Regions from separate parts of the Mus musculus genome. Here region 1 is reported to be linked to region 2. The links are microRNA targets in miRTarBase. Many come from high-throughput screens and were not tested one by one. Region 2 holds a microRNA gene; the other region holds the end of a gene's coding sequence.
What was found. The annotated mature microRNA mmu-miR-3061-5p reads CAGUGGGCCGUGAAAGGUAGCC and lies in region 2 at 2,459-2,480, shown strand. An mRNA with a match to its seed (bases 2 to 7 or 8) in the 3' UTR can be bound and repressed. Matches are read on the target gene's strand: a 7mer-m8 pairs with bases 2 to 8, a 7mer-A1 pairs with bases 2 to 7 and ends in A, and an 8mer does both.

Region 1: the mRNA of Eif1ad is a reported target of mmu-miR-3061-5p. Seed matches in the 3' UTR shown: 7mer-m8 at 2,598-2,604.

Annotation. Positions count from the first base shown.
Region 1 is chr19:5,369,340-5,373,774 of GRCm38, reverse strand. Eif1ad (eukaryotic translation initiation factor 1A domain containing) reads right to left here. Exons shown (of 6, transcript NM_027236.2): 6 at 2,264-3,849. The coding sequence ends at 3,690. Among named protein-coding and RNA genes, the nearest start is that of Banf1, 4.7 kb to the right of the region's middle.
Region 2 is chr11:52,124,301-52,128,735 of GRCm38, forward strand. Mir3061 (microRNA 3061) reads left to right here and starts at 2,446; the gene lies at 2,446-2,536.

The DNA of each region.
Region 1 (4,435 bases), not on the chromosome of region 2:
AGGAGACATCAAAGCTCTCTTACACAGTGAAACACTTCCTCCACAAGACCAAACCTTGTAATAGTGCCACTCCTTATGGCCAAGCATTGAAACACATGAGTCTATAGGGGCCAAATCTATTCAAACCACCACAAAAGCCAGTCAGGCAACATAGAAATCATGAAAAAAAATTAAAAATAATAAAGGTTGCTGGAGAGGTTAAGAACACTTACTGCTCTTGCAAAGGACTCAATTTCTGTTCCTAGTACCCAGGTCTGGCAGCTCACAACCACCTGTAACTCTAGCTCCAGGGGATCCATGCCTCTGGCTTCAGTGGGCACAGCACTCACAAACCCATGAGCACACACTCGGTTTAAAATAATAAAAGTAAAAAAAGCTTTTTTTTTTTTGATATAGGGTTTCTCTACATAGCCGTGCTGTGGTAGAACCATGTATACCAGGCTGGCCTCAAACTCAGAGATGCACCTGCCTCAGCCTTCATGTCCCCCAATACTAAAGGTTAAAATAGAATATCTTAAAATAATAAAAATACATAATAAAAAGAGTGTAGTAAAAAAGATCTCTGGGGTGTGTCTTTGAAAGAAATATTACGATGGTGGTCATCCCCACCACCCCTTTTTTGAGACCTTATTTCAAAACAACAAAACAAAAAACAAAACCACAACCGGGCTGGCAAGAAGTGGATAAGCATGCACGCCCCACAAACCTGACAACCTGAATTTGATGTCTGGAATTCATGATAGGAGGAGAGTTATCCTCTGACCTCCACACACGTGCCACAGTACATGCATGCATGAACAAGTGCATGTGTGTGTGTGTGTGTGTGTGCACGCGTTTGAATAGGAACCCCTGCCACCCCCAGACTCCTGTTTGAATGCTTGACTATGGGGAGTGGCACTATTAGGAGGTGTCGCCTTGGAGAAAGTGTGTCCCTGTGGGGGCAGTCTCCTATGATCAAGCTATGCCCAGTGTGGCACAATCTCCTGCTGTTGCCTTTGGATTAAGATGTAGACCGCTCTGCTCCTTCCCCAGCAACATGCCTGCCTGCATGCCATGCTTCCCACCATGATGGTAGTTTTTCCTTTAGAGTTGCCTTGGTCATGGTGTCTCTTCACAACAATAAAACCTTAAGCTGGTAGTGCATGTTCATTATCTCAGAACTGGGGAAGACGGGTGTGTGTAGGGAGAGGTCTAAGAACTTTTGTGGAGGTCAGAGAACAACTTTCAGGAGTTGGTTCTCTTCTTCCAACATTTGGAACCTGGAGTTTGAACACGTTCCTCAGGTTTGGCAGCAAGTGTGTACCTACTGAACCATTTCATTGGCCATGCCAAGAGGACTATTCAATGAAATCAATCAAGTTGATCCTAAAGTTCTTATGTAATGAGGAAATCTGAGATAGCCTCAGGACGATGGAGTCAGGGAACTATGAGGTAGCAAGTGTACTGTAATATGTAGTGTAAATACAAAGACCCACAGGGCAGATTTGGAATACTAAAAGATCCTTATTGTAGAAATGTTTTTAGACAGTCTTGTGTAGTCCAGATGTGGGAATGTCTTGATCCTCTCTCTTTACCTTCCCAAGTAGGATTACAGATAGGTGCCACAACTGGTTAGGATTATTTTGGGGGGGTGGGGTTGGGGTGGGGCATAATCTCTCTATGTAGCATTGGCTGTCCTAAAACTATGTAGAGCAGGCTGGCCTCAAATTCAAGAGGTCACCCTGCCTCTGCCTCCACAGTGCTTCGCCTGCTTTTTGTTTTTGAACAGGAACTCACTCTACAGCTCTGGCTGACCTAGAACTCAAGAGCCCTGCCTGCCTTTGCCTCCCAAGTGCTGGGGTTGGGATTAGAGGAGCGCACTAACTGTACCTGTCTGCATCTAAAAAAGGTAAAAGGTGTATCAATGAGAAAAGAACGAGCCCTTTAATGAGTGAGTTAGGGGCAAGTGGCTATTTCTCTAGTTAAAGTTAGTTCTCTATTTCCCATAAATGACAGCAAAAAGCTGTAGATCTAGCTTGTTAAGAACACCAGTCTAGAGTTAGAGGCCAGCCTGGTCTACAGAGTGAGTTCCAGGACAGCCAGGGCTACACAGAGAAACCCTGTCTCAAAAAACCAAACCAAACCAAAAGAACACCAGTCTACCATGCCAAGTGCTCAAGGCTCAGTACTAAACAAAAACAAAAAAGAACAGAAAAACCCTGTCTCGAAAAACAAAAACAAAAAAAAAAAACTCTTCATAAAAAAAATTCAGAGAAGTTAAAGATAGGTTCATCTTTAACCCATCTAGTTTATTTTTCCATGTATATACATCTGTATTTTATACATGTGTATACCCAAGTATACATTTACTATCACAAAAAGCAAACATGACGGACATAAATGAAAGCCAGAGAGGGTATGATCATAAGATTTGTTCAAAAATAAGAGATTCTATATAGCATATGAAGCTAATACATGCCTCCACACTCAACCAACTACCCACAACAGAAAAACAAAATCCCTCAGAAAGGCTCCAAAGTAGAAGTTCCATTAGTACAAGTGCACACGGAAAACACACACACACACACACACACACACACACACACACACACATTAGGAGTGGGCAACAGGGTTGAAGAGTTCCACTGTGGGATGGAGCAAATGACCAGCAGGGGCAATACTGAGCTGAGAGGTCAATTTCAATGGTATTCAGCAGGGGCTGGGTTAATGCTAGCAGTGTATAGCCAGAAGCAAAAGCCTTCCAACAAGCGAGGACAGACACAGTTCACAGAAGCTCGAAGTTTAGTGAGTACCTGGGCTACTGAAGGATCTGTGAACTAAGGCAATGAGAGTGAGTAAATGAATGGAGGCAGTCATGAGCAGAGGTCTGAGTTGCCACGATCAGCCTTTTGATGCTGAGGTACAAGGGGTAAGGGCGTTGCAATAGCCTCTAATAAAAGGTTAGGAGCCCCACAGGTTCATGCCTGTGGGCAGGACAGCCATTGAGTTGGTCAGCCTAGGCTATACAGTGATTCCCAAGCAAACCTACGTTACAGACCATCTCAAGATTACAGGAAATTTATACCCTGAGGAAATTGGAAAAATTAAAAAAACATGAGACGGTAAGGAGGTTATCCTGACCACAGACACATTCTGGAAATGACAGGTGCCTAAGGTGAAGAGAGACAGGGTGCATGGGTGTTGTTTGTATGGCAGCAGGTAGTATGCACTGTTGCAATAAGGGACAACAAGGCACCAAGAGGTTTGTCCTCAGCTGTGCTTAAGAGGCAAGTGAGTACTAGGTCCTAGGCAACAAGCTTAACTATTGGAATCACGACTAAACGAAAGCAGGTATGAAGAAGACCCAGTAAGGCACAGTGTAGAGCGAGGCATAAAGTGTACAGAGAGGTACTGTGAACCAGACACATGCAGCAGAGTTAGGCCAAACCATTTCCTTTCCATTCTCCTCATACGTGACCAAGGCTTCCACCACCGAAGAGACTTCACCATGAGCTTCCCTCCACAGAGAGCCACTCAGACACCAGTGTAAGTCATCACCCACCAGGGGTTTAATTCTTTTAGGTCAGTTCAGAAAGGGGCCATCTTTGTCCTCATCCAAAGGAAAAGATCTGCAGGGCACCCTGGGGATGTCCAAGCCCAGAAAAGCCAAGGGGTAGTCCCTGAGCAAATAGAGAAGTGGGTCCTGGGGCTCAGGCTGCCTCCTCCTCCTCCTCCTCGTCTTCTTCACTCTCCTCCTCACTCTCATGATACTGTCTGTGATTGGTGTTGACAAAGAGGTCAGAATCATCTTCAGAACTTGACCCTTCTCCTGACAGCTGTGGCTCAGCAGGGAGTTCTGGTTGACTCTCTCTGTGGGAACAGGAGGAAAGAATAGGTGACATCTTCCGGGGAAACCAGATCTATTCATTTAGAGCCCCAAAACCAGGACCATCAACTATACAATCAGAATCTGACAGGTTTCTGAAAATCCAAGAGCCCCAAACCCTTATGTAGTGGCACATGCCTAGTATTTAGATGGCTAAAGCAGAAGATGGTTGAGTCTGAGGACAGTCTAGGCCACATGAGATCCTGACTCAAGAACAAACAGAAGCCAAAAAAAAAAAAATTCTGGGAGAGGCTTTTTCTAGAGAAACAGCAAATAGGGAAATCCAGTCAAAGAAACAGACTCAGGATTGCCTCCAGGCAGCCCTTCATCGGGTTCAGTGAGGAAGCAACCCTACTAGCACACTGACACCTAGCATGCTCACATTTCCTAACAGCTGATGTACCGACAGCTTCCTAATGCTGTGACCCTTTAACAGCTCTTCACGTGGTGACCCCAACCATAAAATTATTCCATTGCTCCTTTATAACTGTAATTTTGCTACTTTTATGAATAATAATTTAAGTATCTGACACGTGACCTTCAAAGGGGTCTCGACCCACAGGTGAGGAC
Region 2 (4,435 bases):
TTATCAAAAATGGGTGTTGTCAAGAAGTCTGGACAGGTGCTTAGCAGTCAATCTTGTAGCCCCCAGCTGCCTATAACTTCGACTCCAGAGGCCCTGATACTCTCTTCTGGTCTCCACGGCATCAGACACACATGTGGTGTACATGCCTGCAGGCAAACCACTCAAACAAAAAATAAAGATCAGTCTTTTTAAAAGACGTGTTAATGGCTACAAATGTAGTTCATTGGTAGAGCACTTGCCTAGCACATGTACTGTGCCCTGGGTTCCATCTCTAAAAGTTGTATATAATGACACATGTGTCACCCAGCATTGTGGAGGCAGATAGTGGATCTCGGTGCCTAAGAGTGAGTATTCAACAGGGAAGTGTACTTTGGATATGGTAAGGTGACTCAGCTGGTAAAGGCATAGTCACTTAGCAGCCACCCTGAAGACTCAAGCTCAGTCCATGGGATCTACGTGGTGGAAGGAGAAAACCAACTCCTGCAAGTTGTCCTCTGGCCTCCATGCACAAATGGTGATGTATGCACACACACAGATGTTTCAAAAAAGATAATTTAGGGGCTGGCGAGTGGAGCCAGAGTTAAGAACACACACTGCTCTTCAAGAGGACCCACATCCACCTCTGGTCTCCTTGGACATCAGTATTCATGTGCACATAAATTATTATTTTTTTATTAAAAGGTTGCTTTGAAACAATTTATAAAGCTTACTGTTGGGTTTGAGTACTTGAAGAAGATATGTATAATGGTTTTAGTAAAACAAAAACAATGTACTATCTAAGGTTTCCAGGTGATGTTTTGAGATTTGTACATTGTGTCAAGTCGGGCTATGTATGCCTCAAGCATTTATCATAATGGTCCTTGTAGCTATTTGAAATGAAACAAAAGTGTGGTGGTGTGGTTGCCACCTGCCTGTGTAATGGCACATCTGAGCCTCTTGAAATGTTCAGTGACCATTGGGAGACGGTTTGCCTTTCTTCATTACAAATGCACAGTGTCTCCCTTTCTTGACTTACTGTTTTGTTTATGTGTGTGGTGCTAACAGAGGCCTCTAGGTCCTCTGGAGCTTCAGAGTTGTGAGCTGCTGGTGTGAGTGCTTAAAGACCAAATCCAACCTCTGGAAGAGCCGCAGTTAATTCTGTGGTATTCAATCTTGATGCCCACATATTTTACTTTGAATTATTAGGAGCATAGTATGTCTAGGGTTAAGAACACTGCTGGGTGGGGCATGGTGACTCACATCTATGATATCAGCACTTGGGAGGCAGAGGCAGGTAAATGGATCTCTGAGTTCCAGGCCAATCCAGGATACATGGTGAAGCAGTCTTTTATCTTTTTGAGACGGAGTCTCACAATGTAGCTCTGGCTGTCCTGAAACAATATAGACCAGGCTGGCCTTGAACTTCCTTCTGCCTCCCAGTTGCTGGAATTAAAGGTATATATTACCGTGCCCAGCATAATCCTGTCTTAAAAGTAAATAACCATTGTAACTACAGCTGGATTTTGTGGTACTGGTGGTATCTTCTGGGGTAACTGGCTTTTACTGTGTTCCTGGAAACAGCCAATTTTTTGTTTGTTTGTTTTTTGAGACAGGGTTTCTCTGTATAGCCCTGGCTGTCCTGGAGCTCACTTTGTAGACCAGGCTGGCCTCAAACTCAGAAATCCGCCTGTCTCTGCCTCCCGAGTGCTGGGATTGAAGGCGTGCACCACCACACCCAGCGTAACAGCCAATAATTTATAGGCTTAATTTTGAAGTGGATTTTATTCTCCTGACCTAAACCTTTTTTTTTTTCCCTATAATCTCATAATTCTTTGACTGCTTTTACATTTTATAGACTTAAATCTTTTGGGTTAATTTTTCCACAATTGTGTCTATGTTAAAAATAACCTCTGCAAGGTTGTAAATGTGTTTGACCATGCCCCTTGCCAGTCTCTATATGGTAGAACTGTAAAGATACCGTGTCATTGTGACATTTTCATACGTGTGTGTGGTATACTGTGATGCATCACCATTTTTCTCATTTCCATTCTGTACCTTGATTGTATGGATTGCTTTTGTTTTGAGACAGGATCATCTTTTGTAGCTTGGCTGATCTCTGTTCAAATCAGCCAAGCTACATAATGAGAGAAAACAAAACTTGAGAAAGAGAAAACTTGCCTCTGTCCAAGTGCTGGGATTAAAGGTGTGGGCCACCACCGTCCAGCAATCTTACTTGACAGAGTAGAACTTTTAAAGGGTTCGTTTTGCTTTCTTTCTTATTTCTGTCTTCTGGTTGAGCTTTACACGCCTTTGGGGTATATAGGTCAGTCACATGTTGGAGACTGTTCAAGGTGCAACCTTTTTAGGACGTACCTCGAAGTTGTCATGAAGTGTTGGGTTACGTTGAGGGATCTTGTACCTAGATCCCTCTTTGCTGCTTCAATGATGAGTGTACCTTGATATATTGTGTACTGTGGGGCAGTGGGCCGTGAAAGGTAGCCTGGTGGTCCCCTTTGAGCTAAGGCTACCTTTGATAGTCCACTGCCCCACGGTGCATGCATTGGTGTTTTTCGGTAGGTCTCCCTGTCCTGGAGTTTCTGTTGTGGCTATAGGATGGATGCCAAGCAGTGGGTCTTGAGCCCCATGCCCCTTTCTACTTTCTAGCCATTCCCACTTGGATCCCAGTCATTGGGTTGGGATGTTTATGTCTTTTAGTCTTTAAAAATGCTTGTCATTGTGGTGTAGTAGTGTATATGTTTTATGTAACTGTCAATAGATGCCTGACAGGAGCATCTTAGGGGAGGAGAGGTTCATTTTGGCCCAGTTTCAGGGTTATGGTCTGCCAGAGTGAGAAAGGAACAGAGGTGAGGGCTGTTTTGGCAGCAGGAGGAGTTAATTACCAAGTAATGGCTTGGGAGGAAGGAGGAGCAGAGAGAGATAGGAAGCAAAGAAGATATAAGCATCAAAGGCCTGACCCTGTGATTCAACTGCCAGCTGCCATGTCTCACTGCCTCTCAAAACACCAGTTAGGACCACCTATTGAGCCATGGACGTGGGGATAACGTCCATATGGGTGGTGGTAAGTACCATAAGGCGAGGACTGGGAACATGGCTAAGTGGCAGAGCTGCTCCTAGCATACCAAAAGGTGTCACAGGAAGATGGAAACCACCAAGATAACCTCAAAAACAAGCAGAGGAAGTGAAAAGCATCCACCATGAGACCACCAGAGACAACAGGAATGGTGGGAGCAGAAGGAAGATGGCCAGAGAGCTACAAGTGAAGATGAGAGATGGAAAGCAAAAATAAATAGAATATTCAGAGTGAAAAGAGAAATGAATTTAAGACAGCCAGTCGGAAAGGGGGTGGGGGGCATATCCTAGTGGGTTGTACTCCGGTATGAAATTCTTAGAACAATGTGCTGCAGGCAGTACTCCAGTTACTGACCAGCGTGCTACATTCCTATACTGTACTCAATAAACTGTAAACAAATATACCACCTCCTGATGTGTCGCACAGTCCCTTCTGTGGTGGTCTAACACGGGTGAGTTAACTCTTGCCAGTCTTAACGATCCCTCCTTATCCTTTGGGCTGCTGGCAAGAGTAAAAGCTAGGTAACGTTCACCCTGCTGTTGTAGCCATTTATTTGATCAGTACAAGTGGTGTAACCAGGGCTGTCCCTGTTCTCAGAGTACTGAAGTTCCTTGTGACAGGTGCCCTTAGAGAAGTGCATGTTGGGAAGGGAGATAAAGGACCAAGGGTATCATAGTAGGGCCTTGTGCTTCCATTACCCACATCTGTAGGTGGTTTTTCAAATTATCAGTGTGTCGGTGGGTTTGTTTGTGCACAGGAGTGTAGTGGCCACAGAGGTCAGAAATGGGGGGGGGGCAGAGGGGGTTCAAGACAGGGTTTCTCAGTTCCTGGCTGTCCTTGAACTCAGAAATCCCCCTGCCTCTGCCTCCCAAGTGCTGGGAATAAAGGTGCGCGCCACCACTGCCTGGCTCAGAAATAGGTGTTTTATCTCCTAGAGTCAGGCTGGAGAGATGGCTCTGGTTAAGAGGACTGTTTCCTCTTCCAGAGGTCCTGAGTTCAGTTCCCAGGAATCACAGCCACATGGTGGCTCACAACCATCTATAATGGGACCTGATATCCTCTTCTGTATGTCTGAAGACAGCTACATTGTAGTCATACATGAGATAATTTTTTTTAAGTGGGTTGAGCTGCTATGTGGGTGATGAGCCAAATTCAGCTCCTCTACAAGAGCAGCAGTTACTCTTAACTGCTCAGCCATCTCTGCAGCCCCTCCCACTGTATTCTGTGATTGTGCATGGAATTCAGGGTCTCTGTCGTCTCAGTGTGCAGCAAGAGTGAATTGACCTTGTGATCCTCATTGCTGCACTCTGCTTTTACACCAAGAAACAACAGTCTACAGCTCCCAGTGTAGCCAGATGGACGGCT